Linked DNA regions of Arabidopsis thaliana. The protein of the gene in region 1 interacts with the protein of each later gene in a biochemical or structural test. Each region holds a gene or a part of one and is shown in the gene's direction. Other genes may lie near its edges.

Region 1 (7,751 bases):
CAAGAGCAGTGAAGAGTGGACGCAGGTACTTCATCCTTCCTACCTCTTTTAGTGTTTTCTTCACTTCCCCATGGTACTCTCTGCACTTGGATGTGACTGCAAGTTGCAGAAACGAGACCTTCACTTCATAGTCTTTCGATTCTGCCAGTCTGTACCGCTTGTCCAAGGCCATGACCTGATTCATCAATGAGCAAAGTGGGTGTTAGCCATAGGTTTGAACCTGATCACCAATCCTTCCTTTGTTGACTAGCATTGTCATTAACAAACAAGATAAGATCCTAACTCTTGCAAAGCCAATACACTTTCCACAATCATGAACTCTCCCAAAGCCAAGAGGGTTTTTCCACAATCATTATTCACTAGCCCCACATTAATCCAAGAGTAACTATTGAGCTAACCTAACTGACAGTTAGTTAGGCCTTTTTCTCCTCCTTATGTAAGCTTATTGAGTAGTTCAACCTAAGTCAAGCCATTTCCCATTATCTTAGAGGAAGAAATAAAGATTCACTCAGCAAGTACAGCTCCAAGTACAGCTCCCATTAACTTAGAGGAAGAAAGGAGTAAAGAGTACCTGAGAAGGTTCACATGATTTAGGAAGATTCTCCAAGTACAGCTCCCATTCCTGTCCGTTCCACTCAGCAACATCATCCTCACTTGGCATCTTTCCTTCCTTAAACTCTTTCGCCAGGGATATGATCTTTGTGTAAATGGTTGAGACTGGTTCATATGCATCCTCTGGTATACCAACGCCCTCAGTCCACAGCTGTAGATTGATCTCTTTCTCTATGCCAGGGATGTTTGCTTTCAGGAATTCAAGAAATGTGTTTGTATCGATTGACTTGAACTTGAAAGTAGCAATGTATTTCTTGAGGAATTCGTCAAAAGCAGTTCTTCCAATCTGAAAGTTTTCCAGTAAATAGATGACCATTATTGTAAACATTACATAACAAAACACCTAAGCGAAGAGGGCAATTCAACTAACCTGGCGTTCAATTCGCAACACAAATTGGAATCCTTTTTCATATGGGACCTGAGAATATACATCATCTGGATCAACACCTTCTTGTTTGTTCCACAGTTTAGTGCACTCCAAGTTGTCCTTAAACCGTTCCATTTCATCAGTTAAACCCCTCCAACCAATGCCAATGTTCAAAGTAGCTATATCCGCCCCTTGAACAACCTCCACAATTCTCCTCTCTGCGTAAGTTGTAAATCCCTATTGCCATGAACATGAAATAAACACTTTCCCATCAACAAGGCAAACTCTAAAAACGGACACACAGTTACACATCCTAATTTGTAGCTAAAAGAAGCAAAAGCACAAGACAATTCAAAGCTACCTCATTCAACCAGAAGTGTTCATTGTTGATATTAGTGATCAAATTCCCAGTCCAGCTATGTGCGAGCTCGTGAGCTACAACTTGAGCTCCAGTGGCGTCTCCTTTGATAACAGTAGGCGTCAGGAAAACCATTCTTGGATTCTCCATACCTCCATAAGGAAAACTCGGAGGCAGCACCAGTAAGTCAAATCTCTCCCACTCGTAATCTCCAAACAGCTTCTCCCCTTGCTTGATCATATCCTCCGTTCCTGCAAACTCCAGAGCAGCCGCATCTAGAACTTCAATGGCGGCAGATTCTGTGTATACCCGAGTCCTAGGTCCAACTTCCCGAAACCCTAACTCACCAACGGCAAAAGCAAATAGATAAGGCGGTATAGGCTGTTCCATAGCAAACTCTTCCACAACTCTATCCTCACCACACCACAGTGACGACCCCAGCGACCCAGCCTCGAGATGTTTAGCCTCCTCAGGAACCGCAAGCCTACGACGGACGTGGCGAGCCGACATGACGGCAGAGAGCGAATTCGGTATGTTCATAACGACGTCGTAACGGATCCTCGCGGCAGGAGTGTCCTGGCATGGGAAAATGGATCTGGCGTGAATCGCTTGACACTGCGTGTAGACATAAGGATGCAATTTGGAGAAAGTTTGAAGCGGCGAAAGCCACTGGAGAGCGGAAGCAGAAGGCGAAGTGGAGTAGACAATTAGCAGTGAAGATTGACCGGAGAGGACTACGACAACTTCGGTGCCCCGAATTCGATCCGGTGTGGTGGAGACGGAGTAAGGGATAGGCTCGAGAGTGAGAGGATCGAGGACCATAGCAATGGAAATGCAGCGAGTATCAAGAGAGAGTTCGCCGGAGAAGGCGGAGGAGAGAGTGAGGAGAGCGGAGCCATGGATTATGGAGGTGTTGAAATCGAGGTAGAGGGAGAGAGCGACATGCGTGGTGAGAGGATGAGAGGAATCGGTGAAAGAGTGTGGATCAATGGGTGCCATTGCTGAGTGAGAGAAGCTTGCTTAGGGTTTTGAGGAAAGGGGCAGTTAGAGAGGTGGAGAAGAGAGTATAAAGCGGGAGAAAAAGAAAAAATGAAGAATTGTTGTTCGATGGTACCATTTTATGATGATAAATAATGTATTTTTGGAATAATTTGGTTAATGGAGAATCATTTAGTGCATAAAGTTGAAACCGTTAGATATTAAACGGCGACTAAATACAATGTTAAACCCAAGTTGGATGAACCAAAAGCACACCAAGCCACCAACAATCCTGAGATTTTTAACAACCATCTTTTTGGGCTTGAGCCTCTATTGAGCTTCAAGTTTTAGGTCCATGAGTTATACACTCACACGAGTAATCTACTTAGCAACAAACAACGAGTTTACATTTTGGTATTGGTGTCAGATTTATCGTCTCATTATTTGGTGAACTCTATTACAAGATCAAACAATCTATTTGTTTTTGCATTTGGCTCAAAAGCTACTTGGTAAAAACTTCGCCAAAAAAAAAAACTCTCAGTAAAAATTACAATTATTTTTTCCTGATGGTTTAAGTTGTTGATGACAACAAATATAAAATCTGATGGTTGACGATTACTACTATTAGGAGAGTCAATAAACGGGTTCGAGCACAAGTGCTGACGGCACCCACCCGTCAAAACCGACGAAACCAGAGAGCCCTCGAGACTCAACCCCAAATAAAATTGGAAAAAAATGAAAATAAAAATAAAAATGATGATATAAAACCCTGAAGAAGAACCTTTTTCACATTTTTCTTACAATTTTTATTCTTGCTTGCTCGTGTCTGATTTTTCCCAGCCAATTTTGATCTACCTTTCAAAAATTCCACCTTTTTCTTTCTTCTCCATGGATCTGTTCTTCTCTCCTTGATCTGGATCGACTTTACTGAGTTTCCTTCCCCCCCCCCCCCCCCCAGATATGTTCTGAGGAACTCTCTCTACTGAATTGATTGGTCTTTCACTCCCTTCTTACTCTTTGATCTCGCGACCTAAATTAATTTAGGGCTTTCTCTTTTCGGAGCTCTCATGGTTGGGAGAGTCAAGGTCCCTTGTTGTTCCGTGTGCCACACGCGGTATAATGAAGATGAGAGAGTTCCTTTATTGCTTCAATGCGGCCATGGCTTCTGCAAAGATTGTCTTTCCAAGATGTTCTCTACTTCTTCCGACACAACCCTCACTTGTCCCCGGTGTCGCCACGTGTCTGTTGTTGGGAACTCTGTTCAGGGTCTCAGGAAGAACTACGCTATGCTTGCTCTCATTCACGCCGCATCCGGCGGCGCTAACTTCGATTGCGATTACACGGATGATGAGGATGACGACGATGAAGAAGATGGTAGTGATGAAGATGGAGCTCGTGCCGCTCGTGGATTTCATGCCTCAAGCTCGATTAATAGCTTGTGTGGTCCAGTGATCGAGGTCGGAGCTCACCCGGAGATGAAGCTGGTGAGGCAGATTGGGGAAGAGAGTAGTAGTGGTGGTTTTGGAGGTGTGGAGATGTGGGATGCAACTGTTGCAGGCGGTGGTGGACGGTGTAAGCACCGTGTGGCGGTGAAAAAGATGACTTTGACGGAGGACATGGATGTTGAGTGGATGCAGGGACAGCTTGAGAGCTTGCGGAGAGCATCCATGTGGTGTAGGAATGTTTGTACTTTCCATGGGGTTGTGAAGATGGATGGATCTCTTTGTCTTTTGATGGACAGGTGCTTTGGGTCTGTTCAGTCTGAGATGCAACGCAATGAAGGCAGACTTACTTTGGAGCAGATTCTAAGGTTCCTCTTTTGCTTCTCTTATTCTTTTTTTTTGCCTAGTATCTGGCTTTTACTGTGATCGTTTCTGTGCTTAAAGTCTCAAACTTTGATAGCCTGTTCCCTAATTAGAAATTACTGGACTAGACCCGACTTGGTTTTTTGTGATTGCTATTAGAAATATATATTGTAAGTGCACAGTTTTTCAGATTCTAGTGAAACAAGCAACTAAAACCTGGTGTCATTTGCCAAAAGGGCAACTTGTAAGATAACTTTAGTTTAGATGTTCTTAAAAAGCTAGGCACGAATTATAGTAGTTGTCATCTCTCTTTGTCATTACCAGCTGCAGCTACTTTTCATCTGTCAATGCCTCAATAGACAAACATTTTTTGGACTAGTCCTTTCCTTTTTAGTAGTGGATCCTTGAACCTACGTTTGCAAGATATCTTTGAGAAAGCCCTTTACATTAGTATGCTTCCTTCTAAAGTATATGACCAGAAATCATTTTTCAACGAACTGACATATCAAATCATGCAAAAAATTGTACGAATTGTTATACATTAATTTATCAAAGGACGCATCATCTAAAGATGATCCTTATTTTGTTGTCCTGGTTCTAATATTACCTTCAATTCACTTGTTTGTATTTCCTCCTATTTTCTGTTTTTAACTGAATTGCGTCATTTGGGACTATTAAATGTAAGCACTAATGCGTAAATGAGTGTTTTGTATTCTCCTTTCATATCGTGCTCATGTTGTTTTAAGTTTACAACTTAGAATATTCCTTCAGTGACCAACATATGTATTATTCCATTGCTCTTGTTGTGATATTAAATTTTACCAACTGTAGATATGGGGCTGATGTTGCTCGAGGGGTTGCAGAACTCCATGCAGCAGGTGTTATCTGTATGAATATAAAACCTTCCAATCTTCTTTTGGATGCAAGCGGCAATGCTGTGGTTTCTGATTATGGGCTCGCTCCCATCCTAAAGAAGCCAACATGCCAGAAAACTCGACCAGAGTTTGATTCCTCAAAAGTCACTCTATACACGGACTGTGTAACACTCAGTCCACACTACACTGCCCCAGAGGCTTGGGGACCGGTGAAAAAACTTTTTTGGGAGGATGCAAGTGGTGTATCTCCAGAATCAGATGCATGGAGTTTTGGCTGTACGTTAGTAGAGATGTGCACTGGATCCACTCCGTATGTGAAGCCTCTTCCTAGTTGATATTTCAGTTGTGTTTTGTGTCTGCCATTGTACTAACTGTCACTTAATTTTACAGGTGGGATGGTCTTAGTAGAGAAGAAATTTTTCAAGCTGTTGTGAAAGCCCGAAAAGTACCACCACAGTATGAACGCATAGTGGGTGTGGGAATTCCTCGGGAATTATGGAAAATGATTGGTGAATGTCTTCAGTTTAAACCGTCGAAAAGACCAACCTTTAATGCAATGCTTGCTACATTTCTTCGTCATCTACAAGAGATACCACGTAGCCCTTCAGCAAGCCCTGATAAGTAAGAGTTTTAAGTCCCTAAGATTACTTAGTTTTATGGTTTCCCTGTTTTCGTTGCTTGTCAGTAAAGAAGACCCTTTCACTTGTGTTAAGATTAATATTAGCACCAACACCTAAGATTATTTTTGTCATCATGCCTATATTCCTTCGCCTAACAATAATATAAACCATGTATGATGTAGTGGGATTGCCAAAATATGTGAAGTAAACATTGTACAAGCACCTCGCGCGACTAACATAGGGGTCTTTCAGGATAACCCTAACAACCTACATCGGGTTGTTTTGGAGGGAGACTTTGAGGGTGTAAGGTTAGTATCTGTTAGGAATTCTAGTTAATCCTTTTGTTCGCACTAGCTATAAACAACCTGTTCTCAACTACATTGGTTTGATTTTTGTTTTGGAGTAGAAATATACTTGCAAAGGCTGCAGCTGGAGGCGGTGGAAGCTCTGTGCGATCTCTATTAGAGGCGCAAAACGCTGATGGTCAATCGGCTCTTCACTTAGCTTGCAGACGTGGCAGTGCTGAACTTGTGGAGGCTATACTGGAGTATGGGGAGGCTAATGTAGATATCGTGGACAAAGATGGGGATCCTCCTCTTGTCTTTGCTTTAGCAGCTGGATCTCCACAATGTGTTCACGTTCTCATTAAAAAGGGGGCTAATGTGAGGTCCAGACTGCGGGAAGGATCTGGCCCATCTGTAGCTCACGTGTGTTCGTACCATGGCCAACCTGATTGTATGCGTGTAAGTCTCTGCTCCCGAGGAAGCTATCAGTCACTTTAAAGCTTCCACAACATGATCGCAAATCTTCCACTTATGTGAAGTGTATCAGATATTATGCTTGTCTTATATCTATTATCATGTTAATAACTATTCTCTGCTAATTGGTACTATCAATAGGAATTGCTGGTAGCTGGAGCCGATCCAAATGCAGTGGATGATGAAGGTGAAACTGTGCTTCATCGAGCTGTTGCCAAGAAATACACAGATTGTGCCATTGTTATATTGGAAAATGGGGGATCTAGATCAATGACTGTTTCAAATGCGAAGTGCCTGACGTAAGTACAGAAATGACCTCTTTCTATGCTAGGTAGACGGGACCATAAAATTTGGCACGGATAGATTACTACTGGGCCATTTTAAAGCAAGTTCTGTTTGGTTTTATTTTGTAGTTCTTATACTCCTATTTGCATCTACATTATAACTTATTTTGAGCATTGTATGTGCTTAAAAATGTCTACTACATTAACCTGTTTGGATAAGTCACAATGAGGTAGCTGAACCATTTAATGTGTACCTTGGTTCTTTTCTTTCTTAGGAAAGCATATTTCATTTTGTAAACCTATGTTTCTGATGTTTTATGCTACAGATCTTTATACTTTTATGTTTGTTTCAGACCGTTACATATGTGTGTAGCAACATGGAATGTTGCTGTTATCAAGAGATGGGTGGAAGTTTCCAGTCCAGAAGAAATTTCTCAGGCAATTAATATCCCAAGCCCAGTTGGCACTGCTCTGTGTATGGCTGCTTCTATAAGGAAAGATCATGAAAAGGGTAATGATGAAATCGTAGTATCTTTTGTTTGGTGAATTGCTTGGTAGAAGTATGACTATATCTGATATATTTTATGAGGATCTTTACGAAGTTTTATCTTTATTTGATGACACGATGATTATGGTCATCTCTATAAGATAAGAATTTTTTCAAGCACATTTCCAATGGTATTTTATGTAGTACATCTAAAAGATCAGTTACTTGTAGTTTTGCACATTACCAAAAAAGGATGTTATTTGAACTTTTTCCTGCTATTTCTTACAAGAGTATTGTATCAAAGTTGAATTTATTGGATGTTATGTCATTATTCGTCTTACCATATGAATCAGTTTACTTAACATGTATACTGCTGCAGAAGGTAGAGAGCTGGTTCAGATATTGCTTGCAGCTGGGGCAGATCCGACTGCGCAAGATGCTCAGCACGGGCGAACAGCGTTGCATACTGCTGCTATGGCTAACAATGTGGAACTTGTGAGAGTAAGATGCTTTCCTACCAAGAATGTATTACCATTGATGTTTAAACGAGAAGGATACTATTATGTTTTGTCCGTGTTGATAGATATGCTGTTGTGTAGCACCATAC
Region 2 (8,194 bases), on another chromosome or scaffold:
TGCGTGGAGACATTTGGCTGATTGCAAATTAGTGCAATATCTGAAAAGTGTGTGAACATCATCAATCTCTTTACTTTCATTCCCATTTTTCCAACAGTCTTGCAAAGCATTTGCAGATGCTGAAAATTCTCTAATAACTGATCCGATAGATTGCAAAACTCGTGTAAAGCGCCCACCTTTGCAGGTTGGAATTTGTCTGGGAAGTGAAAAGGTTCCAAATTTCATCAAATTTTCGAGGGAAGAAGAGAAATACTCAGAGAAAATCTATACATTTATATATATACCTCAACATACATGCAATTCAGGTGTCTTGAAAACTTTCGACGATTCCCACCAAAAGGTTTCGGTTAGCTTAGAGAAGTAGAGATGAGAGACTAAAAGAGATGGTATAATCGGGTTGGTGATTTTCGACGGTGAATTGAAGAGTCCGCCGGAGGGTTTAGCGACGGCCGTCAGCTTTTCTTCTTTGATTGCGGTTTGTAATTTAATTGAACCCGGTTTGGTTTTGTAAACCGTGCGGTCTAAAGCACTAAACTTTAAGACGAGTAAGATTAGAGCCCAATAAGGCCCAAATAGTTTGGTAGCTTGGTTAAGCCCAAATATATAGCCGTTGGCTAGACGCCTAGACGGAGTTTTTTGTACTGACCAATAGAGAATGGCTTGCAAGAGGGAAACACATGATCTGAACCAAAAGTATGTTTGTTTGTACACTTGAAGCGTATTTTTAGCATACGTTTGCTCAAGCAGGGCCAATAATTGACAATAAAACCTTCGATCCACGTGATTTGGATTGCGTGTTAAGAGGTGCAAAACAAATCTTCGTGCTCACATTATTCGGGCTATTCACTTCACATGCATTTGACTATGACAAATGACAATAGTTCTTTTTAAAAAACAAATCAAAGGAATAATACGTTTATTAGACTTCACAATCTTGCTATAATGGTCCCTCTTCAAAGCTTAGAGAATTTGTAAGATAACAAATTAAGATTGATTGTATTTGGGTAATAATGACTACCTCTTTTTGGCTTTTTCATTTATATAAATACTTGGAGTTCACCTCCTTACAACAACTTGAAACAAATCATGGAGCTTAACTCCTACAAACATGGAATCATGGAAAAGTGACTTTAGTGGAATACTCCACATTATTAGCAATGAAACAGAAATGCGAGAGACTTAGTCAAGTCATGACCAAGTCCTTAATCGTATCTTGGATTGGGCTTGCGCAGACGTTTGGGCCGAACGTTGATGTTGGGCTGAATGTCCTCATCATGCTATGCCTCATAACTCATTCCTCAAAGCTTTCTTCTAATCATAATTTATTTGTTTTTTGTTTTTTTAATTTGCATCGTGAGGTCTTCTTTTTGATCCAATCAATGGACCTCTTTCTAAGAGTTCAACTACTCTTAACAACTTTAGGTCTTCTAGACACATAGAAAGTAATAAATATATATGGGCATGACACTAAGGTTTCATTCTTTTTCTTTATTGTGGTTTAGGTTTTTGATCTAATTTTGTTATTGTAAGAATTATTTTGTAATTTTGTTATTATCTTACCATGGAATTAAGAAAAAGTAAATTTCTTCAAACTTACCCTGTTGTTGCAACTTACATATTAAACTCTCTCTTTTTTGTTAAAAAAAGGTTATATATCTTTTAACCTTCTAGGATTTTAGCCTAGCTGAAAAAAAGTTACACATTAAACTTGTTTTTGTTAACAACGTTTTAGCATTTCGGTTGTGTGTTGTTTCTTCCGGTTGTTATAGTTTCGTACTTTCGTTGGTTTTGAGTTTTGGATTCTTGAAAGGTGGTTATAATTTATACATTTTGTTTCTACACGACCTTAAAGAAGTAACTTCAATTAATTAAATCTAATTCGGGAAAGAGCACGTCTCAAAAGAGTCGTCGAGTCCCATGTGAATTCTATATGATAACATTAAACAAAATCACGGTTCCATATTTGTTTAATACTAGTATGTATTGCAGAGTAGACTTTCCTAATCCAGTAGATTCTTAAAGAAAAAATAATATAAAAAGATTGAAAATAGAAATAAAAGATGGGAGACACGAAGGGTCACTTGTATTGTACCGAGTCCAAATGTAAAGAAGTCTCAATAATGGTGTAATAAAATAAAGAAGTTGAAGACAAGATCACAATCACCATGTGAAGATCAACACACAAGATCATAATTTTATTGTATGTTTGCTTCATTTCAACTTTTTTAAATATTGTTAAGAGGGCAGGCATTGAGTGCGCCACGTGGCAAATGACCATCCCTTTGTAGGTGCAGCAAACGTGATAAAGATTCCGGACTGTTCACCCATTCCCTTCTTCCATTTGTTTCTTATTTTTTCTTACAAATCTTATCGTATCATAATTTTTTTTCCATAATGCGCTCCCTTGAATGGAATAACGTTGGTTATTTTGTTTCCAACCAAATTTTCATACCATTCGATCAAATAGGTGCATCAACTTACAAGAAATGAAAGTGTGATCCCTATTTTATTAGGTAGCTAAGTAAGTGTTAGTGAACACTACGTTAGATTGTTACTCAAATAACGGATCAACGAATCTCGTATTCATTACTATACTGCTAATGAATGCATCAATTTTAATTTTTATTGGTTATCTATCCTTAAAAAAAAGTTATAAGAATATTTTGATAATTTGTTCCAAGATGTAGTACTAGTAGTAGTACTTGGTCTCGTAAACGACGACGCCGTTTAGGAAATCAAACGGCCAAAAATGCTTCCACTTTGCGAAATTTTATTGGTGGGAAACGCAAATGTATCGATAATGATTTAAAGAAAAAGCGGCGTTTCTAATTGGACCACGTTGCCCAATCTCTACGGCTCACGCACGATCTGACGTCAAATTGGCATAATACTATAATAACCTTATCGAGAATAAAATAATAGTCGCATCCAAACAAAAGAAACCAACCCTTTTATATCACGACGAGTGTCACGCCATGGACACTTGTCCATCTCTCTCGCTCTGACCCCTTTCAGGTATCTTTTATTTCTCAAAGAGGAATTATTGATTTTCCATTTCCAAAGAAAAAAAATAAATTCGAAGGTCAGGAAAATTAACAAAAAACTTCCTTTTTTTTTTTGTTAGTTTGTGTGACTGAGCTGCTTCATTTTTTTTCTTTCTTTTTTTTTTTGGTTTGATGAATCGATTTTTGTTGTCTATTACTGATTGGTTTTCTTGTTCAGATTCACTGATTCGAAGAGAATCATGATTTTTTTTTCCCGCTGAATAATAAGCATATGATTGGGTGTTTTGGAGATTTGTTTACTGATTAAAAGGAGATTCCTTTCCATTTTCACCATTTGCTCTGTTTGACTTCATTGTGCTTATATTTCATTTAGATCTTTTGTTTGGGTTTAGCTTTGGAACTGATAAAAATCTGATTTTGTCTCACGGCTTTGGATTTGGTTCTTAAATTTTGGTACTTTAAAACTGGATAAAGATCAGTGCTTTTTTAGATTCTTCGTTTGTTGATGAATTTATGGATGTATGTATAATTAAACCATAATCTCTCTGCTTGTTTGTTTTCTTATAGGTAAATATCCAGAAGCTTGATCCTCCTAGTTGTACGAAAGCTTGAGTAATGGGGTCTAGATTAAACTTCAAGAGCTTTGTTGATGGTGTGAGTGAGCAGCAGCCAACGGTGGGGACTAGTCTTCCATTGACTAGGCAGAACTCTGTGTTCTCGTTAACCTTTGATGAGTTTCAGAACTCATGGGGTGGTGGAATTGGGAAAGATTTTGGGTCTATGAACATGGATGAGCTCTTGAAGAACATTTGGACTGCAGAGGAAAGTCATTCAATGATGGGAAACAATACCAGTTACACCAACATCAGCAATGGTAATAGTGGAAACACTGTTATTAACGGCGGTGGTAACAACATTGGTGGGTTAGCTGTTGGTGTGGGAGGAGAAAGTGGTGGTTTTTTCACTGGTGGGAGTTTGCAGAGACAAGGTTCACTTACCTTGCCTCGGACGATTAGTCAGAAAAGGGTTGATGATGTCTGGAAGGAGCTGATGAAGGAGGATGACATTGGAAATGGTGTTGTTAATGGTGGGACAAGCGGAATTCCGCAGAGGCAACAAACGCTGGGAGAGATGACTTTGGAGGAGTTTTTGGTCAGGGCTGGTGTGGTTAGGGAAGAACCTCAACCGGTGGAGAGTGTAACTAACTTCAATGGCGGATTCTATGGATTTGGCAGTAATGGAGGTCTTGGGACAGCTAGTAATGGGTTTGTTGCAAACCAACCTCAAGATTTGTCAGGAAATGGAGTAGCGGTGAGACAGGATCTGCTGACTGCTCAAACTCAGCCACTACAGATGCAGCAGCCACAGATGGTGCAGCAGCCACAGATGGTGCAGCAGCCGCAACAACTGATACAGACGCAGGAGAGGCCTTTTCCCAAACAGACCACTATAGCATTTTCCAACACTGTTGATGTGGTTAACCGTTCTCAACCTGCAACACAGGTGACTAAAGAACCTAAGCTACTACATTTTGTAGGAAATACAATCATCTGAAAAATATTAGACGTAGCCTTCATGTTTTAAGATAAGCTGGTTTTGGATATGCATGTATGTTTCAGTTATCTGAGCATGACTTGTTTTTACTTTTTTCGCAGTGCCAGGAAGTGAAGCCTTCAATACTTGGAATTCATAACCATCCTATGAACAACAATCTACTGCAAGCTGTCGATTTTAAAACAGGAGTAACGGTTGCAGCAGTATCTCCTGGAAGCCAGATGTCACCTGATCTGACTCCAAAGAGCGCCCTGGATGCATCTTTGTCCCCTGTTCCTTACATGTTTGGGCGAGTGAGAAAAACAGGTGCAGTTCTGGAGAAAGTGATTGAGAGAAGGCAAAAAAGGATGATAAAGAATAGGGAATCAGCTGCAAGATCCCGCGCTCGCAAGCAAGTGAGTGTTTGTTTAAATTTTGGAGATTAAAGAAACCTTAAAACTGTGACCATGTTATTTACTTTTTCACTTTCTTGCTTGACAGGCTTATACGATGGAACTGGAAGCAGAAATTGCGCAACTCAAAGAATTGAATGAAGAGTTGCAGAAGAAACAAGTGTGTCTCGCTTCTTCCCTATCACAATTAAGAATCTCGAGATTTTCATATTTTCTTGAGGTTGTATTCACTGACCAAATGTTTCATGCAGGTTGAAATCATGGAAAAGCAGAAAAATCAGGTACTGTCTTGATTTGAATATCCTCTATGGTTGTTGGCTAGGCTTTTAACTCTCACTCATAATGAATTACACTTTTGGACAGTATTCTAAGCTTTTGAGTAGAATAGTGTAAGCTATACCATGAAGTGAGACATATCATCACATTTTTGATTTCCCACTCTGCATAAAGTATTTAAGATTTGTGAATATGTTGCAATGCCAATTTGGATATTTCATGAGACTAATCTGACGAGCATGGATTTAACGGAAGTTGGCTCATTTGTTGTTGCAGCTTCTGGAGCCTCTGCGCCAGCCATGGGGAATGGGATGCAAAAGGCAATGCTTGCGAAGGACATTGACGGGTCCCTGGTAGAGCTTATAATGGCGTCTAAGGAACCCAACAAAGCGCCGAAGTTATAGAACAACTCAGAAGATAGAAAGCTAGCTTTGTACGTAGTTTAGGCAGGTTCTGTGGGTGATTGTAAATCTTGAAGTGTGGCGGATTTGACAGAGATAGATAAACACATATCTGTTCTATTTTCCTAAATCTTTTGGTTTTATCTTCCTGATGTAATGGATCTTTATCATTTGTCTTGAACATCTTTGTGACTTAACCAGAGTGAATTTATCTTGTATCTTGTCTGCAATTTTTTCTTTAGCTCATTTGGGCCCAAGTCAACACCTTTATTATAGAAGAGAGTAAACATCAAGTTTAGCATCAACATCTGGTAATCCAACTGGGCGTACAAAATTAGATACACATACTAAATTGGCAAAATTCTTGCAGATAGCATCCCGCTTCAGGATAAGGTGCATCAACGTTGAACAGATGATACTTGTGAAAAGTCTCTGGAGTTGAGGTGGTTTGATACCATCGGACCGTTATACTTCGGTTTAAGATCAGTAATGAGACATCTTCTAACTGTGTTTCTTGAACAAGATGCTTTCAAACGGTTACTGCCTTGGATACTCATGCACAAGCCCTTCTGAAACACTCCTTGCTCTAGCATGTCCGAACAGCTTGCTAACAATAGCCAGGGAAAATTTGGTAACAGTTGCGAGCCCCAAACTTGTAATCACGTTTCCATCTATAACAACTTCGGCTCCTTCGATCATTTGTTGATTCATAGGCTCGTCTGACTCTGAAGGATACACAGTCGTTCTCTTCTCCTAAAATAGGATTCCAATTGTTTATGGCGTTTGTCCATGTATATGACAAAGAAAAGAACAATAGTTGTCTTCACCTTACCTTGAGTAAACCATGTTTATGCAAAACGGTAGATGAAGAGTTGGTAGCTCCATATATTCGCCCAGATTCATGTTGTTCCCTGAGCAGTTTCTTGAGAATTTTGGACTTCTGCAGACGTTCTGAGCCAGTATGGCCTCCCTTGGGAATTTCCATCAAAGAAAAGAAATCATATTACTCACCATGGAACAACCAACAGTTGTAGTTTGTCTAAAAGCTTTTCCTAAGCGCATTGATTTGACATGGCATATAAGTTATACTGAAACATGTACATAGCAAGATTTATTTAAGAAGAAGTAAACTAGCGAAATGGTATGAGTTTATTATGAGACTAGGACATGCAGGGTTTTGCTTAAAGCCTTACCGGAAGAATGATTAGATCATATGATGACTCAGCAGCTTCACCAATCAATTTGTCAGTGATAATTTTGGTGCCTTGGAATGCCGTAATCCGCAAAGATCGTTCAACTGATGAAACCGTGACATCTACTTTGGCTCTTCTAAGAACATCTGCAATTGAGACCAGTTCAACCGCTTCAGACCCGTTGGCTACCGGGATAAGAACCTGGATTTAGATGCATCATTAAAACAAGTTTCTCAGCTTTCAAACTAAAATGAAATGTTCTTAGAATCAGCTAACTTTTTCATCTTTCAAAACTAACTGAGCGTGAAAGGAGAAGGAATGGATAAAAGAAAAAACTCCATAGGTATAGAAGATAAAACCAAGATCAGTTCTCATCATATATCATGAGATTACATGGAAATGCATTGATCATAGCTTCATGCGACTTACACGAGGTGTGTGGTCTAAAGACCAGTCAATGCTATTGAACTCTTTGTTCTTAGGATTCTGGTAACCATCACGCAGAAGCTGGAGAAATGATTGGAAAAGAAGACTATGAGAAGATTGTTGCATATCGAGAAGGATAAAGAAAAGCATGATCCAGAAAAGTATAAGTGAATAGGATATAGACCAGAAACTCTTCAATTGACTTGGCTGTGGTTTCTCCGAAGAGCTGCTCCGCCAAGGAAAGAGCAAACTGGAAAGAAGTGCCGGGTCCACGGCTAGTTGTAAGCTCCCCTGAAATCTGAATGTTTGTCTTAACAGCCCAGAATGTAGGAAGCTTCCCGAAAAAAGCAGGATGTCCCGTTGTCTTGCACGATGAACTACACCAAGTTTAGAAATCAAAACATGAAGAGAAAAGATTAGTTACTAGATGACATCAAAGATTTTGATTTATACCCTCTTTCTTGTCAAAAGTCCCCATGGAAGAAGAGTAATAGCTGGAGCCATGGATATAGCCCCGTATAACCGCTTATCTTCAGCTTGTCTCTTCATGATCTTCTCGAGAATTTCACAGTCTCTTAACCTAACAGCACCAGGCATGCCTCCCTTCACAATTTGTATTTCCAGACCATCCAGAAACAAATACACAAAACCATTAAAGTAAAGCTCAAAGACTGTCCTCACTTATAGTTTATGAATCAGCAAAAGAGGAACTTACCGGCAAAGCAACTAAATCATAAACTTGATCAGCACATTTCGAGATAAGAACATCAGCAAGCAATCTGGTCCCTGAGGATCCTTCAACCTCTAGCTTCTGCTCCACAGAAGCAACAGTAACATCAGCACCAGCTCGCCGTAAAACATCAACTAACACAACAGCTTCTATTTCCTCCGTCCCATATCCAATTGGAACAAGCACCTACATAGTTTCTCAGTTATCTCCAATCTCA
Region 3 (7,721 bases), 430 kb from region 1:
TTGAACGTCACAGTATCAGGAATAAAGCCTCTCGCTTCCATATCCCCCATAACCATAGCTGCCTTTTTCGTCATACCTAGTTTGCACAGAGTTGCAATAAGAGTGTTATAAACTTGCCGACTGAGTTTAATCCCATAACTCAATAGCGTCTCATGCGTTTTGAATATAGCATCAGCTCTTTTATGCTTCGAAGACGTGTCAAGAAAAATCCGGTATGTCGTTAAGTTAGGATGGATCTCCATAAGCATCATTTGATTCAATATGTGAATTGCTTCCTCCATTTTACCGTTTTCGCATAGCATTCCAACCACAATATTGCAACTCATCAGACTCGGTTTTATTCCACAACTCTTCATCTTATCCCAAAGCTTAAGGATACCTTCCGAATCCCCTTGCTTTCTTTGTGAATTCATCATTATGTTAAATGTAGCAATATCTGGTTCTATACCCTTCTCTCTCATTCCTTTGTAGGCCCAGTCTGCTCCGACTTTGCCAAACTTTAACATCCCACTGATTAAGACATTATAAGAAACAACATCCCACGGCATCCCTCTCTCTTGCATTTCTTCAGCCCAAGCAAGAGCAGCTTCTTCGTCTCCTCCTTTGAAGAATACATCAATTAAAGATGTGTAGTTAATCTGATCCAGCGTCACTCCTTTAGATACCATGTCTTTGACTAATCCCTTAACTTCCTTAATCCTACCAATTCTCTTCAAGTGGTTCACCAGAGCATCAAGTATGTAGTTGTTTTCCTCCACCCCAATCAGCCTCATTTCCTTACTCAGTTCAATTGCCATTTCTTCTTTCCCTGCCTTAAACAAGCCATCAATTACTGTACCATAAGTAAAACCATTCGGCACAACATTTTGGTCCTCCATTTTTCTCAAAAGACTAACAGCTTCTTCGAGCATCCCTTTCTTCACATAGCCGTTTATCATACTAGAGTATGTTACAACATTCGGAATAACACTTTTCTCTAACATCTGCGTTATGATAAATTCTGCACTGCTTAAATCCCCCGCTTTGCACAACCCATCAACCAAAGCCGTATATGTAACCACATTTGGAACTTGGTTATCTTCCAAAAGCATCTTAAATGTTTTCTCAGCCTCCCTAAGGTCCCCAGCCTTAAACAGACCATCCATCAAAACAGTATATACAACTAAATCTACAGGTATCCCACGCACAACCATCTGACTGTAAAGAGCCAAAGCATGGCGGTAAATATTTGCTTTAAATAACGAATCAACAAGAGTAGTATAAGTTACATGGTTCGGATATACACTCATCTCCTCCATTTCCCGCAGTAACAATCCCCCTTCCAGCACTTTTCCACCTTTGCACAATCGGTTAATAATCGAACTAAAAGTAACAACATCCGGATCAAACCCACTCATAACCATATCCCTGTATGCTTCTTCAATAGCATGGAGATTGTAGTAGGAGCTTAAGAGTATAGTATGAGTGATAAGGTTTAGTTCCGAGATTTCGTCAACTAAAGCCTTAGCTCTAACAAAGTTTCCAACTTTACAAAACCCATCAATCAGAGTATTGTAGCTAACCGTATCAGGCAATATACCCATCTTCACCATCTCAGATAGAAACTGATAAGCCTCATCAGCTAAACCATGTTCACATAAACCCGAAATCACAGTGTTATAAGTAACAGTATCGATGCTGATTACTCTATTTCTAAGTAAACTAATTGCAAAACTCAAACGACCCACTTTGCAAAAAGAATGAATCAATACATTGAGAGCAAAAACATCGGGAGACACTCCACAAGCTATCATCTTGCTGTAAATCAGCGATACCTGATCGTGTACCAAACCATTGACATTGAATTGATGAATCAGACTGTTCCATAGACGCGAATCCGGAACAACCCCGAAAGTGCACATCGCAGAGAGCGTCCTTGCTGCTCCGTAGAGTCTCTCACAGCTTAAATAGAGCCGAAAGAGAGTATGGAAGAGAGAGACGTAAACTCTAGTCTTGATAGGAGCTAAATCTGGGTCGAATCTTCGTTGTGTGATCGAGAGGCTAGTCTCTTCGCTTTCTGGGATTTGGGGTCGTTTGATTGACGAGAAAGAGCGGCAATTTGAGAGGAAGAATCTGTATTTACCCTTATAGTTATTCCAAATCCTTATCATTATCATCAGCAGATAGATTGGAGTTCATCTAAATCTCCAAATTTCTCCAGAGACTCCTGCAAGCTCTCATGGCGTCTGCTTGTGACGACGCATCGTTTTCCAGGTGAACTGAGAAAAAGAGTTTCGAAGCTCGACGACGAGGTTTAAGTTCGGTAATACCACGTCGTTTTAAAAGACTCAATAATAACGGCCCTAAATACATGGGCTGTTTTTGGGCTATATCTAAAATAAGCCCAACATATTAACGTTTAAACATATTTCATACATTTCGGAGATAAGATTTCGGAAAAATCTATTTCACGACGCTATTTCGGAGATAGATTAATAATGGGTTAAGTTGCAAATTACTCACTTTTCTAAATTTAATTTGAAAAGTAGTCACTTTACTATTCATAATTTGCAAAATAGTCACTTTTCACTGTTTGATTCGTACACTTAGATTGTACACCATTTTTAGTGTACAGATGTATATAAAAAATACACAGCGTACACTTTACATTTGTACACTAAAAGTGATGTAATCCAAGTGTACGAATCAAACAGTGAAAAGTGACTACTTTGCAAATTATGAATAGTAAAGTGACTACTTTCCTAATTAAGTTTGAAAAAGTGACTATTTTGCCAATACACCCATTAATAATAATGCGATGCTATTTCACGACGTACTTATCCAAAACATATAACGTTAACAAACAACTAAAGGGACCACTATCATTATTGCATTTTAGATGTTAGTATAAATTGAATTATTATTATATTTGTTGGAAATTTATGTAAATACATATGTATTTAATATTTATCACCTGTTAGAAAATATGTTAAAAAAGGATTTGATTTATTTTTTGTTGAAGAAGAAACATGATTTCTAAAATATTTGGAAATCTTTGATTCTGGTTTATACACTTTGTATCAATGGAAATTTGGTAAAATTGGATTTGTCAGTGTGAAAATATCATGGAGAGGAATCAATTAAAAAGGAAAAGAACCTTACCAAAAAGAAAGAAAGTAAAAGAATATAACTAAATAGACATTACAGTCAGCTTTTCTAAACAAGGAAAGGATAGACTTATACATGAATTAGTAACTATTTCCTTAGAATTCAAGGATTTTTTTTGTCTAACAGTACTTGTCAAGTAACATAAGTACGATAATTAAAGTCTAACGATGATGTCTATGGAGCCGTCTTACACGTGGCACAGCTATTCTGGTCCGAAGAAAAGGATGATTTGGTGCAGGTGCGTGAACATTTCGTCCTATATAAATCCTCTCATCTCCAATTACTGATTTCACACAAAACAAAAATCGACCAAAGAGTAACCAAATTGATATTTATCTCTTCTCAACCATGGCGATGAGACAAGCCGCTAAGGCAACGATCAGGGCCTGTTCTTCCTCTTCTTCTTCGGGTTACTTCGCTCGACGTCAGTTTAATGTAATAATTCTTTCGATCTCTCTCCTTTTTCACGATTAAGGTTCTAAGTTGGTGATATTTATAGTTTCTCAGAGTTTTGTGTGGTGATTTCGCTTGATTTTACTGTTTGCGGTTGGTAACGTTTCCGATTGTGTGTGGGATAGATGTTTTTGGATCTTTGGCCTTATGATTTTGAGGATATGCAAATTTTGGTTTTGTAGAACCTATTTTGATTTTGTTGTGATATGATCAGACTGACTGTGCATGACTGAAACGTGTGACTAAAATTAGGAAAGCACAACTGTCGTTTCTGATTAGGCCAGCTAAAGTTTCCATAATGGAACCCAACTACTACATGGTGTCTCTTTTTGTAATAACTAAACGGCACGATGTTTGATATGGGCTTCTAAACGGGCCTGTAAACGTTTGGGCGTTGTATATAGTTTCAAAACAGAACAGATTAGTGTCTTACTGTAAGATGTTGTCTCTTTCAGTGTAATGGGAAGACGCACTTTTTGATGATTTTTCAGAGTTTTAGGTAGTTCTTACATGCGTCGGATCTTTTCTTGTTCTTATATATGTATTCATGTTTCTTTGAATCGGGTATATGTTAAAATTTAAATAGCCTTTTGAACTTGCTTATGAAACAGGCATCTTCTGGTGATAGCAAAAAGATTGTAGGAGTTTTCTACAAGGCCAACGAATACGCTACCAAGAACCCTAACTTCCTTGGCTGCGTCGAGAATGCCTTAGGAATCCGTGACTGGCTTGAATCCCAAGGACATCAGTACATCGTCACTGATGACAAGGAAGGCCCTGATTGCGGTAAGTATTTTCCAATCTAACAAGTACTTGAAGAGATTCAAAATCTTTAATTCTGTTTTTCTATAGCACAAACTATAAATATGAATGCAAGCCTCCTTTTGATTCAACTCTTATTTATTAATGGCAGAACTTGAGAAACATATCCCGGATCTTCACGTCCTAATCTCCACTCCCTTCCACCCGGCGTATGTAACTGCTGAAAGAATCAAGAAAGCCAAAAACTTGAAGCTTCTCCTCACAGCTGGTATTGGCTCGGATCATATTGATCTCCAGGCAGCTGCAGCTGCTGGCCTGACGGTTGCTGAAGTCACGGGAAGCAACGTGGTCTCAGTGGCAGAAGATGAGCTCATGAGAATCTTAATCCTCATGCGCAACTTCGTACCAGGGTACAACCAGGTCGTCAAAGGCGAGTGGAACGTCGCGGGCATTGCGTACAGAGCTTATGATCTTGAAGGGAAGACGATAGGAACCGTGGGAGCTGGAAGAATCGGAAAGCTTTTGCTGCAGCGGTTGAAACCATTCGGGTGTAACTTGTTGTACCATGACAGGCTTCAGATGGCACCAGAGCTGGAGAAAGAGACTGGAGCTAAGTTCGTTGAGGATCTGAATGAAATGCTCCCTAAATGTGACGTTATAGTCATCAACATGCCTCTCACGGAGAAGACAAGGTACCACAGCTACTATCAGAAACAAAAAGAGACGAACACTAACTAGATTTTGTTTCTGAGATTTGACCAATGGGTTCTTGTTTATTCAGAGGAATGTTCAACAAAGAGTTGATAGGGAAATTGAAGAAAGGCGTTTTGATAGTGAACAACGCAAGAGGAGCCATCATGGAGAGGCAAGCAGTGGTGGATGCGGTGGAGAGTGGACACATTGGAGGGTACAGCGGAGACGTTTGGGACCCACAGCCAGCTCCTAAGGACCATCCATGGCGTTACATGCCTAACCAGGCTATGACCCCTCATACCTCCGGCACCACCATTGACGCTCAGGTTATATTGTTTTCCTTGAACCGTTACACATATCATATGCATAAATTTCTCTGGAAACTTTTGCTAACGAATGAAAAGGTGTTGTTTTATCCAAAAAGTAATGTTGGAAATTTGGAACTAAAACATTTTGTGTGATCAAAATTTGTAGCTACGGTATGCGGCGGGGACGAAAGACATGTTGGAGAGATACTTCAAGGGAGAAGACTTCCCTACTGAGAATTACATCGTCAAGGACGGTGAACTTGCTCCTCAGTACCGGTAAGCTTTTGAGGAGGTGACATTGGGAAGATGATGAGAAACGACCCCAACGTTCAAGAAAACAAATAAAGAAGTATTTGGACTTTGCTAAGTCGAATGACTTGAGTCATCTTTTGGTTTAGTTTTTGTTATTATATAAGCACAATAATAATAGGAGGGCACTTCCCCTGTTCTGAGAGTTTGTGAACATATTACTCAGTGGTTTAAATCACACATATGTATTTGTTTCCCCAATCGTAGGAACTCAATGGTTTCAAATCTCATTATATAAACATAAAAATGAATAAAGGCATATTAAATTTGTCTAAAGAAAAGTGTTCTTGTTATTAGGACCTAGCTCTATCAGATTTTGATGCACACACCGACAATGGTGTAACTACAACATTACGACAATATTTGAATCATTGTATGGAACGTGGGTCCATATTTGTATCAATATTTAAGTTCTTAACAACTATATCAATTATGAATCCCATATTATTATATGCGTATTTAAAACTATAGGTCTATAATATAAAGAAAACTGTTTTCATATTTTCTCAAGATGGGAGAAGCGGGTGTGGGGATGCTAATCATTCGATTTGTAATTTGATCAAACAGTGGTTAGAGATTCAGATATGTTGACAGCCAACTTCTTGCCTTTTTCCAAATCTGCCCCTTCCCCCACACTGCATTATCTCACGTGTATGGTTTTTCCTCATCATGTTTTATAAGTTTTTGATTCACAACACAAGCGGAATGATGAAATTTTGATAAAAGATATGCATAGCATAGTTATGAAAGAAAACTAACTAAAAATGTTAAGAATAACCATTATATATGTAGAGTCCCATTATATTAGAGTCTTGAACATAGCTTGTGATTTCCCCATTCATTATATAGTATGGCTGATTACAACATACGAAAGATTAACATATGTTATGTTATGTAAAGATTAACATAGTAAAGATACGCATAATCGCAACGTTATTTCGTTTTGAATATATCACCTTATGCAACCTGCTACTACCAAATATTATTATTACTAGATTTTAACCTGCGGTATACCGCGGGACAATTTTTTTTTTTATAAGTAATATATATTAAAACTTGCAAATTTTATTTTTATAAAATATTGATATTTTACAGTTTATAATTGTTATTAAGTAACGTTATACCACGAATCCATGAGACAATTGTTAAAAAACTGAAGTTTTAACCCCTATTAAAACATCATATTAATAATATTTTAATATTTTATAAATATTGATTCAAATACATCCACCATATAACCCAATTCCAAAATAAAACCCGTTCTTTAATTTCTTTATCCGTCTCGTTATTTTTTTTTCAAAGTAGTAATTTTTAAATTTTAAGAATTATTTTTTATATATAAAAGTTTTGCAAATTGTATCATTCTCTAATATATTTAAATTTTATAGTTTAATTTTATATATAGTAACATTATACATACCACATAACATTTTTGGTTTTATATAATCTTTTCTAAATTAGAATGATTTGATATGTTTAATATTAGTGATCTTAAAAGATAACAAATTAAAGATTTAACTCGTATTGAAATGGTGGATTAATTATATTTTACTTTTTTATTAATGTTGATTCAAAAACCCGTCCCTTCAAATCCGTCTTGCCAAAAAGCAATTTATTTTATTAATATTAATTTTATTAATGATATGACTCTGAATTATAATCTAAATATTTTAGCTAATAACATAGAAGTGCACCATATTTATTTAATAGGAGAATGTACCATATGACCCGAATGCACTTTTACCCCAATCCACCAAAAAAACAAATATATTAGTTAGCTTAAATTAGTTAAAGAATACAAATTGAAAAAGTATATTACACTTTATTCGAATATAGTATCAAAACTTATATAACACAGAGATTTGATAATTTTTTAATTGTTGAATACTTTTTTTTTGCTAATTTTTATGTGATTAAGATTTAATTAATTTCGTATATAAAATCTTAAATTGTTTTACGAACTTATTTGTTTATAATTTGGTAAAAGATAGATATTAGAATATTCAGTATATTTTGCTTCAGTTTAGGAAATGTTTGATGACCCGTCTT
Region 4 (7,000 bases), about 12 Mb from region 1:
TACAATCAGTGTTACAGAAAAAAATCTCCAAAACATGGATAGTCTATTTACTTGGGTCCTGGAGGGTATGGAGCTGTCTTAGCCACATCAATAAAAATCTTATGATCGTGCAAATATTCACCATTCTTGTTCTCCAGTGCCTATCGTATAAAGATTTAATCAGCTATCGTATTTTCAAATAACTATACTCTACTTTTCAAATTACTTTTAATACAATTTTCATCATTACTACAAAACTACTCTCACCTTTTTTGTTTCGTCAGCAGAAGCAAACTCAACAAAGCCATAACCCACATGCTTACCTTCATGGTTTACCATAAGTCGAATACTTACAACTTCTCCAACACAATTGAAGAAATCGAAGCTGTAAAAGTGGAGGGTAGAATATCAGTCATGAAAAGACTTGCCCCGAGAACGAAAGTGGAAATTAAAAGTAGTACTTACATATCTGATATTTTAGTTTGAGGAGAAAGATTGGCAACAAAGAGTACTTCCTGAATTTAACAACCAAGTGTGTTAGCACGATTTGTAAGGAGAAAAAGATTTTCATTGCATAACAACAAAAAGTAGCCTCATCTGAAGACTCATTCCCAAATAAGTCATCTTTCGACTTTGTGGCAACAGTTCTGTTATTAAGCATGACTTATTTTGAAGGTAATAAGAACAGGTACCTCAACAGAATTAGGAGGTCTCTCATCTTCTTCTATTGGATGGCTTTCTAGTCTACGGTAGTCTTTGTCCCTGGAATATCAAAAACCCTTGTGATCTCTCCACGTATACCAAAAACTTCACCTAATGTGCTCAAAAGGCAAATAGTATAATCCCTTACCAAACCTTGTGATCTATGCAATACCTAATTAGCAAAAAAATAATATTGGCGTTAGTCTTTACTGTAATGGCATCAAAACTCTAGCAATGAGTTAAAACCAGTGTTACATAAATCAATTTACTTGGGTGGAAGGTATGTAGCTTTCTTATTAGCCACATCAAGAAAAATCTTATTATTGTCTAAACATTCACCGTTCTTCTTTTGCAGCGCCTACAACAAAAAAGATTTAATCAGCAATCCTACTTTCAAATAACTACTCGTACAATTTTTCATCATTACTATAAAAAACCCTCACCTCCTCTGCTTCATTAACAGAAGCAAACTCAACAAAGCCACAACCCACAAGCTTACCCTTGAGGTTTACAATAAGTTGAACACGAACAACTTCTCCAACCTTTTTGAAGAAATCGATGCTGCAAAAGTAGATGATTAGTCATGAAAAACTGGATCCGAGAACAGAGGAAATTAAAGGTACTACTTACATATTTGGTATTTTAGTTTCATAAGGGAGATTGGCAACAAAGAGCGTCTTCTCTCTTACTGCAGCTTCCTGATTATTAACAGGCAAGTCTTAAATTGCATAACAAACCGAAAAAAAGTAGCTTAATTGAACATAAAACTTGTACAATACATGTAACAAACAGTCCAACATTATAATGATCAAAAATTAAACCTTGACTGAGATTAAATTAGCCTGATCAGACTTTGTCACCAACAAGTCGTTCTGCTGGAGACTAAAAGCAATAGCTTTCGTTGTCACCTGTTGTTACATGAGTAGCCGCAATTAGAAAAAGGCAGAGTAAAGAAAATTGGTCTGAAAGAAGAAGAGGAATCCGAACATATGAGGTTTACCTTCTTCTTGTTTATTTTCTTATGTCTCTTGAGAATTGGGTTGGCCTCCAAACCATATTGCGGGTTACGCTTACCTAAAGGAAGAGTAGCAAAAACTTCTTAGAACCAAGTAAGTTGGTATAAAACAACATTAGATAAGAGATCATAAACCACCAAAAAAACAAACCCTGGGAGTTAGATTTGACCATCACGGAGAAGATGAAAGCAGGAGGTTTAAAGGGGTTTATGTCTTCTTTCCGGGAAGAGTCCGTTGAGCGCAAGCAATACGTTGTAAAGTAAATAACCCTAAGCTACGTTTTATTTATAGAAAACAATCAAAGGAAATGTTTTGGTTTGGGCTGGGCTGGGCTTTCATTGTACCTGCTTAAGAGGCCCAAGGCCCAACATGCTTCTTCTTTTTCGTCTACCTCCAAATCAGCCCAGTGTGTTTGTTCTGGAATTCATAATTCATAGTTTCCGATTAAAAAGCAAGAGACCAGGTACAATCTCAACCTGTGGATTGCATGATAAAGATGATTTTAATCGGAAACCGTAACGATTCAAAATTGAAACAAAAGTATTCATTGAGGATATCAAAATTCGATAACCTAACGCATGTGTCTCGAATTAGAGAAATCAAATAGTGTTTTCTGGGCAAAATCAAAACCAATCGACACAAATCGATCTTTTGCGAAAAAAATACTAAAAAGAAAGGCAAACCCGTGTAAACTTCATCTTAATCTCATGAGTAAGAGTTTCCAGATAAGCATATCTCCGTGATGAAACTTTCTCCATTCCATTACCACCACTGATTGAAGATGCGATCACCGGAAAACAACCCAAAAAGCAAACACCGTCTCCATCTATCGGTAAGGAGAATTCGAGAGATTGATCACAGAGTAAGACGAGAGACTCTTTCGATTAATGCTCTCATTGTTCTCATCTGAGAATTCCCATGGCCACGGCAAATTGTGGTAGCGGCGGAGGAGAAACGGTGAGAGCTTGTTGCGCATCTCAAAAAGAATGAATACATAAACCGAACTATACCGACCCAAATTGAAATATAGAAACTGATATAAACCGAACTATACCGAGCCAAATTGGAATTTTTGAAATTGGAATAAAACTGAACCGAGCCAAATAGTCTCGCACTCTCACCAAACCCAGTTATCTTATTAAATTTTCACCAAATCCAGTTTATCTTAATGCATATCCTATCTTTTCATTAGTCCATAACTAATTCGTTGATTATTGTTCATTAGATATTTGCAGTAATACAAATCCCACTATGACAACATGATGACTCGCATAATATGACATTCAACTATTGTGAGATTACAAAATTTAAAGATATTTTACTTCTTTTTTTTCCAAAATAAAATTTACATTCTATTGATAAAATGTAATTAGTATGGATAAATTAGAATCATAAAACATTAGTTTGAGATAGAGATTTAAAATAATCATGTCACAAAAACTAGATAAAATTTCATTAATTATGATTGGTTATCTGGTTTCATTTTTTATTTTTTACAAAAATATAATCAGCCGTTCATATCTCTACACTTGGCTATAGAAATAGAGAAATATCAAATATGTACCAAAGAGGACAATTTTACAATTGAAAATTCATCGTGATTCAGAATCATTTGGAATCTAAGTGGGGTCAAATCAAATATAGCCCACCCTTTATAATTTCTTAAAAAAATTAGATAGTATTTTAAAATTATAATGTTTACAGATATTTCTTAAGCAGCCATTATTACTAAAATAAATCATAGTTTATCCAATTAAATTATTCGCTTCCGTTTCTTAAAGCATAAAAACCAAAACTTTCTCTTTCGTTTTGCTTTCTTCCAATCATCTGCAGGAGTGAATCGCAAAACCAAATTTGGAGGATTCTTTCTGAGGTATCAAAGCTTTCTCCTTTTGATTAACCCACACGAGAAAAAGCTCTCTTCTTTTGTAGGAATTCAAAAAGCTCGTCTCTTCTTGTTCGATTCAATCAGATTAGAAAAAGTTTCTGGATTTGAGCTGGATTGATCTAGGTTTAACTTGGATTACTTTTTGTAGGGGTTTCTCAGTGAGAAAATGGCTTCGAAACGGATCTTGAAGGAGCTGAAGGATCTCCAGAAAGACCCTCCAACCTCCTGCAGTGCAGGTTCACTTCAAAAATCTCAAATCTTTCTCCTTCTTGTTGGATCCATTACTTTATCTATGATTATCTGGTAATATGCCAGAGATTTAGCATTCTAGAGATCACAAAGGTGAAAGTTACTTTTCAGACTGATCAGAGTTGAGAAATGTAGAATCCTTCTTTGCGTTGTGGTGTTGTCTACTTATGTTTTGGCTTATGTTTATCTTAAGATTTTATGATGAATTTCAGTTTATTAGTTTCTACTTTTCTCTAATTATTAGACTAATCAGAGTTAGAAGAGTTGAGAAATGTAGAATACTAGAATCCTTCTTTGGTTTGTGGTGTTTTTTTTGCTTATGTTTTAGTTTTTGCAGGTCCAGTTGCTGAAGACATGTTTCATTGGCAAGCTACAATTATGGGTCCTGCAGAGAGTCCGTATTCAGGCGGTGTGTTTCTCGTTACCATTCACTTCCCTCCGGACTATCCATTCAAACCACCAAAGGTATTCAATATTGGAACAACTCTTAGATTACCACGAACTTTAGGTTTAGTAGAGTTCCTTGAAATTCTTGGACCTAATTAAAACTTGTATTTGCCCCCAAATCAAATCAATTTCTTGGCTTAATCTTGACACTTTTATTGGTTGTTTTGTTTTTATTTGCAGGTTGCATTTAGGACGAAGGTGTTTCACCCTAATATCAACAGCAACGGAAGCATTTGCCTTGACATTTTGAAAGAACAATGGAGCCCTGCCCTCACCATTTCCAAGGTGACTCTCATTTTTCAGAAACATCGGTTCTCCAATGTTCGTTTATGTTCCAAAAGTATAGCAAGAGCATCTACATTTTCAGCTAGGATTTTGCTCAATGCACAAGCTTTGCTTCTTGAATGTTTGTGTATGTAGTAAGATCATCATCTCTAGTTTTTAGCTGTTTTAATGGAAATGTTTATGCAATTGGTAGGTGTTGCTCTCGATATGTTCGCTGTTAACAGATCCAAATCCAGATGACCCTTTGGTACCAGAGATTGCACACATGTACAAAACCGACAGAGCCAAATACGAGGCTACTGCAAGAAACTGGACTCAGAAGTATGCCATGGGCTAAACAAAGATTCGTATGCTTCAGCACCTGTTTATGTTTTCATGTCTGTTTCTTTCTTCTTCTTGTTTTAACTTTAATAAAAATGTCTAAAATATCAACTTTTTCGTCTGTACTATATATGTTTATGGGTTTTATTATCATCATCTTTATCTGAAATTTGAAGATGGAATTCTAAAGCTTGAAGGTTATTTGTTAAAGTTTATTTACTAGTGAGTGATGAGAAACATTGTGTTGTTGTTCATTTCATTTTTTCTTTGTCAGGAATATTCATTGACTTGTTTTCTTTCCCAATATTTTATTTTACCACAAATATGTAGCTTATAATCACTATCTCGTAGACACACCGTCGTTAACTACGAGAAAAAAAAGAACAGACCATTTTACCAAACTGTTGTCTTTTGCCGACGAAGTCACCGAAGCCGGCGGCGGAAGAAAAGGTAAAATTACAAAAACTCTCTTCTGCAAAGTGACCATTTTTCACAGTGCTAAGTACAAATTTGTAGTCTTTAACCTCACTCACAGTTCATATATGTCGCATTTTGCATCAACAACAAAAAAAAACCTAATCTTTAGGGTTTATTTCTATTTGAAGGTTTTGTGGTGTTCATGGATACAAGAAAGATTCCGTTGTTCTGCTATTGGAATGGTTGTATTAAAGATGGTCCTGATGGTCCGTTCTATGAAGGGTCAAGTCCAAGAGGGATCAGAGTTGATAGCAAAATCGAACTATCCAATTTGTTGGATGATCTGCATCGACTTACTGGTTTTGAAAAGGGAAAGTTTCAGATTGATTTGATTGGTAGGTACCCTTCCATTGTTCAACAACAGATGGTCAAGTATGTGCGTTTGCCCATTGTGGACGATTGTAGTTTGGAGATGATGCTTGAGGTACCATGCTACCATCCATCTATCAACAGTCTGGAGGTGTATTTAGAGATCAAACCGTTTTCTGATGAAGTTACTGTTTCTATATCTCATCAGTCCCCATTGGAAAGTAATGTGCCCCGAAAGCGTTATCGGCAAGAGGATGCTAGTAGTGTCAATGCAGATGTAAATGTGAGTGGGAGAAATACTAAACTAGGAAGTCCTCCGGAGGATAACCATAATGGTTGGATTGAAGATGAGGAGAGTACGGATGTCGGAAACTCTGGTGATAATGGGGTCGCACAGAAGGATTCGAAAATGAAAAAGCCAACTCTAACGGAAGGCGTCAGTGATAGTGTCTCGAAGCAGTTGATTTTCTCTAGTTCATGGCTCGATGAAAGTGAGTTGCATGTTGGGATGATTTTTAGAGGTAAAGATGAGCTGGCGAAAGCAGTGAAGTTGTACTCTAATAGAAGGCAACGTGAATACAATGTATTCGAAATCCCCATTACGGGTACCTTTCAATCAGGGTGCAAGAACTACTGTAGATGGTTTCTCAAGGCAGCTAAAACGAATGGAAATGGCTTCAAGATAACAGAATACACAGGTCCACATGCTTGTAAGCCAGCAGATGTGGGCTCAGATTTCCTGGCAGGTGAAATTGAATGTCTAGTAAAGGTTCAGCCCTCGCTCTCAATTGTAGAGCTGAACAATTGGGTGAAAGAAGCATTTGGCTACACAGTCTCGTATGCTAATATGTGGAAGGCTAAAAAGGAAGCGATCTCTGCAATCTTGGGAGATTTGGACAAGAGTTTTAGCGTATTGCCCAAGTTCATGGCTGCCCTTGGCTCATCTAACAAGATGCTTTTGGAATGGCAATATGATCTTTTTCCTGATCCCAAAAATGCATCCTTTCGTTCTGTGTTTTGGGCGTTTCAGCAGTCAGTTGAAGGGTTTCCTCACTGCAGACCTCTCATTTTAGTAGATACAGTAGACTTGAGTGGTAAATACCCTGGAAAATTGTTGGTTGCAGCGGGATTAGATGCCGAAAACAGCCTTTTCCCACTTGCGTTTGCCATTACTACCCAAGAAGATTTGTCAGCTGATACTTGGCGTTGGTTCTTTTCGTGCATCAGAAAGAAAGTAACGCAGAGGGAAGGCATTTGTCTAATTCTGTCTTAGGCAACTTGTATCTTGCTAATCTTTGATCACCTGGCAGAGCTTTTCAAACTGCGA

Evidence for each region.
Region 2: of the proteins of KEG (region 1) and ABF3, one has a biochemical effect on the other in vitro, tested with the Arabidopsis thaliana proteins (one study listed by BioGRID).
Region 3: the proteins of KEG (region 1) and FDH form a complex in vitro, tested with the Arabidopsis thaliana proteins (one study listed by BioGRID).
Region 4: the proteins of KEG (region 1) and UBC8 form a complex in vitro, tested with the Arabidopsis thaliana proteins (one study listed by BioGRID).

The regions. Positions count from the first base shown.
Region 1 is NC_003076.8:4,342,236-4,349,986, forward strand, and holds the start of KEG (protein kinases;ubiquitin-protein ligase), read left to right. Parts: upstream 1-2,966; 5' UTR 2,967-3,382; coding exon 3,383-4,125; intron 4,126-4,951; coding exon 4,952-5,305; intron 5,306-5,385; coding exon 5,386-5,616; intron 5,617-5,797; coding exon 5,798-5,923; intron 5,924-6,021; coding exon 6,022-6,358; intron 6,359-6,514; coding exon 6,515-6,672; intron 6,673-7,010; coding exon 7,011-7,168; intron 7,169-7,523; coding exon 7,524-7,645; intron 7,646-7,751. Other genes in the region: AT5G13520 (peptidase M1 family protein), read right to left, coding at 1-175, 572-898, 983-1,216, 1,341-2,336. UniProt on the Arabidopsis thaliana protein: Mediates E2-dependent protein ubiquitination. Acts as a negative regulator of abscisic acid signaling. Required for ABI5 degradation, by mediating its ubiquitination.
Region 2 is NC_003075.7:16,292,388-16,300,581, forward strand, and holds ABF3 (abscisic acid responsive elements-binding factor 3), read left to right. Parts: upstream 1-2,946; 5' UTR 2,947-3,620; coding exon 3,621-4,508; intron 4,509-4,660; coding exon 4,661-4,954; intron 4,955-5,039; coding exon 5,040-5,111; coding exon of another isoform or gene 5,112-5,202; coding exon 5,203-5,232; intron 5,233-5,503; coding exon 5,504-5,584; 3' UTR 5,585-5,898; downstream 5,899-8,194. Other genes in the region: EMB2758 (Tetratricopeptide repeat (TPR)-like superfamily protein), read right to left, coding at 1-225; DJ1C (Class I glutamine amidotransferase-like superfamily protein), read right to left, coding at 6,166-6,381, 6,461-6,598, 6,822-7,022, 7,251-7,328, 7,432-7,611, 7,701-7,850, 7,963-8,163. UniProt on the Arabidopsis thaliana protein: Binds to the ABA-responsive element (ABRE). Mediates stress-responsive ABA signaling.
Region 3 is NC_003076.8:4,773,548-4,781,268, forward strand, and holds FDH (formate dehydrogenase), read left to right. Parts: upstream 1-3,185; 5' UTR 3,186-3,495; coding exon 3,496-3,582; exon of another isoform or gene 3,583-4,079; coding exon of another isoform or gene 4,080-4,099; exon of another isoform or gene 4,100-4,186; coding exon of another isoform or gene 4,187-4,211; coding exon 4,212-4,386; intron 4,387-4,513; coding exon 4,514-5,054; intron 5,055-5,143; coding exon 5,144-5,381; intron 5,382-5,529; coding exon 5,530-5,643; 3' UTR 5,644-5,979; downstream 5,980-7,721. Other genes in the region: AT5G14770 (PPR repeat protein), read right to left, coding at 1-2,156. UniProt on the Arabidopsis thaliana protein: Catalyzes the NAD(+)-dependent oxidation of formate to carbon dioxide. Involved in the cell stress response.
Region 4 is NC_003076.8:16,672,321-16,679,320, forward strand, and holds UBC8 (ubiquitin conjugating enzyme 8), read left to right. Parts: upstream 1-3,521; 5' UTR 3,522-3,570; exon of another isoform or gene 3,571-3,733; 5' UTR 3,734-3,751; coding exon 3,752-3,815; coding exon of another isoform or gene 3,816-3,821; intron 3,822-4,162; coding exon 4,163-4,299; intron 4,300-4,461; coding exon 4,462-4,566; coding exon of another isoform or gene 4,567-4,701; exon of another isoform or gene 4,702-4,759; coding exon 4,760-4,903; 3' UTR 4,904-5,189; downstream 5,190-7,000. Other genes in the region: AT5G41690 (RNA-binding (RRM/RBD/RNP motifs) family protein), read right to left, coding at 52-140, 247-364, 445-494, 672-741, 830-853, 951-1,039, 1,125-1,242, 1,312-1,379 and 3 more. UniProt on the Arabidopsis thaliana protein: Accepts the ubiquitin from the E1 complex and catalyzes its covalent attachment to other proteins. Mediates the selective degradation of short-lived and abnormal proteins.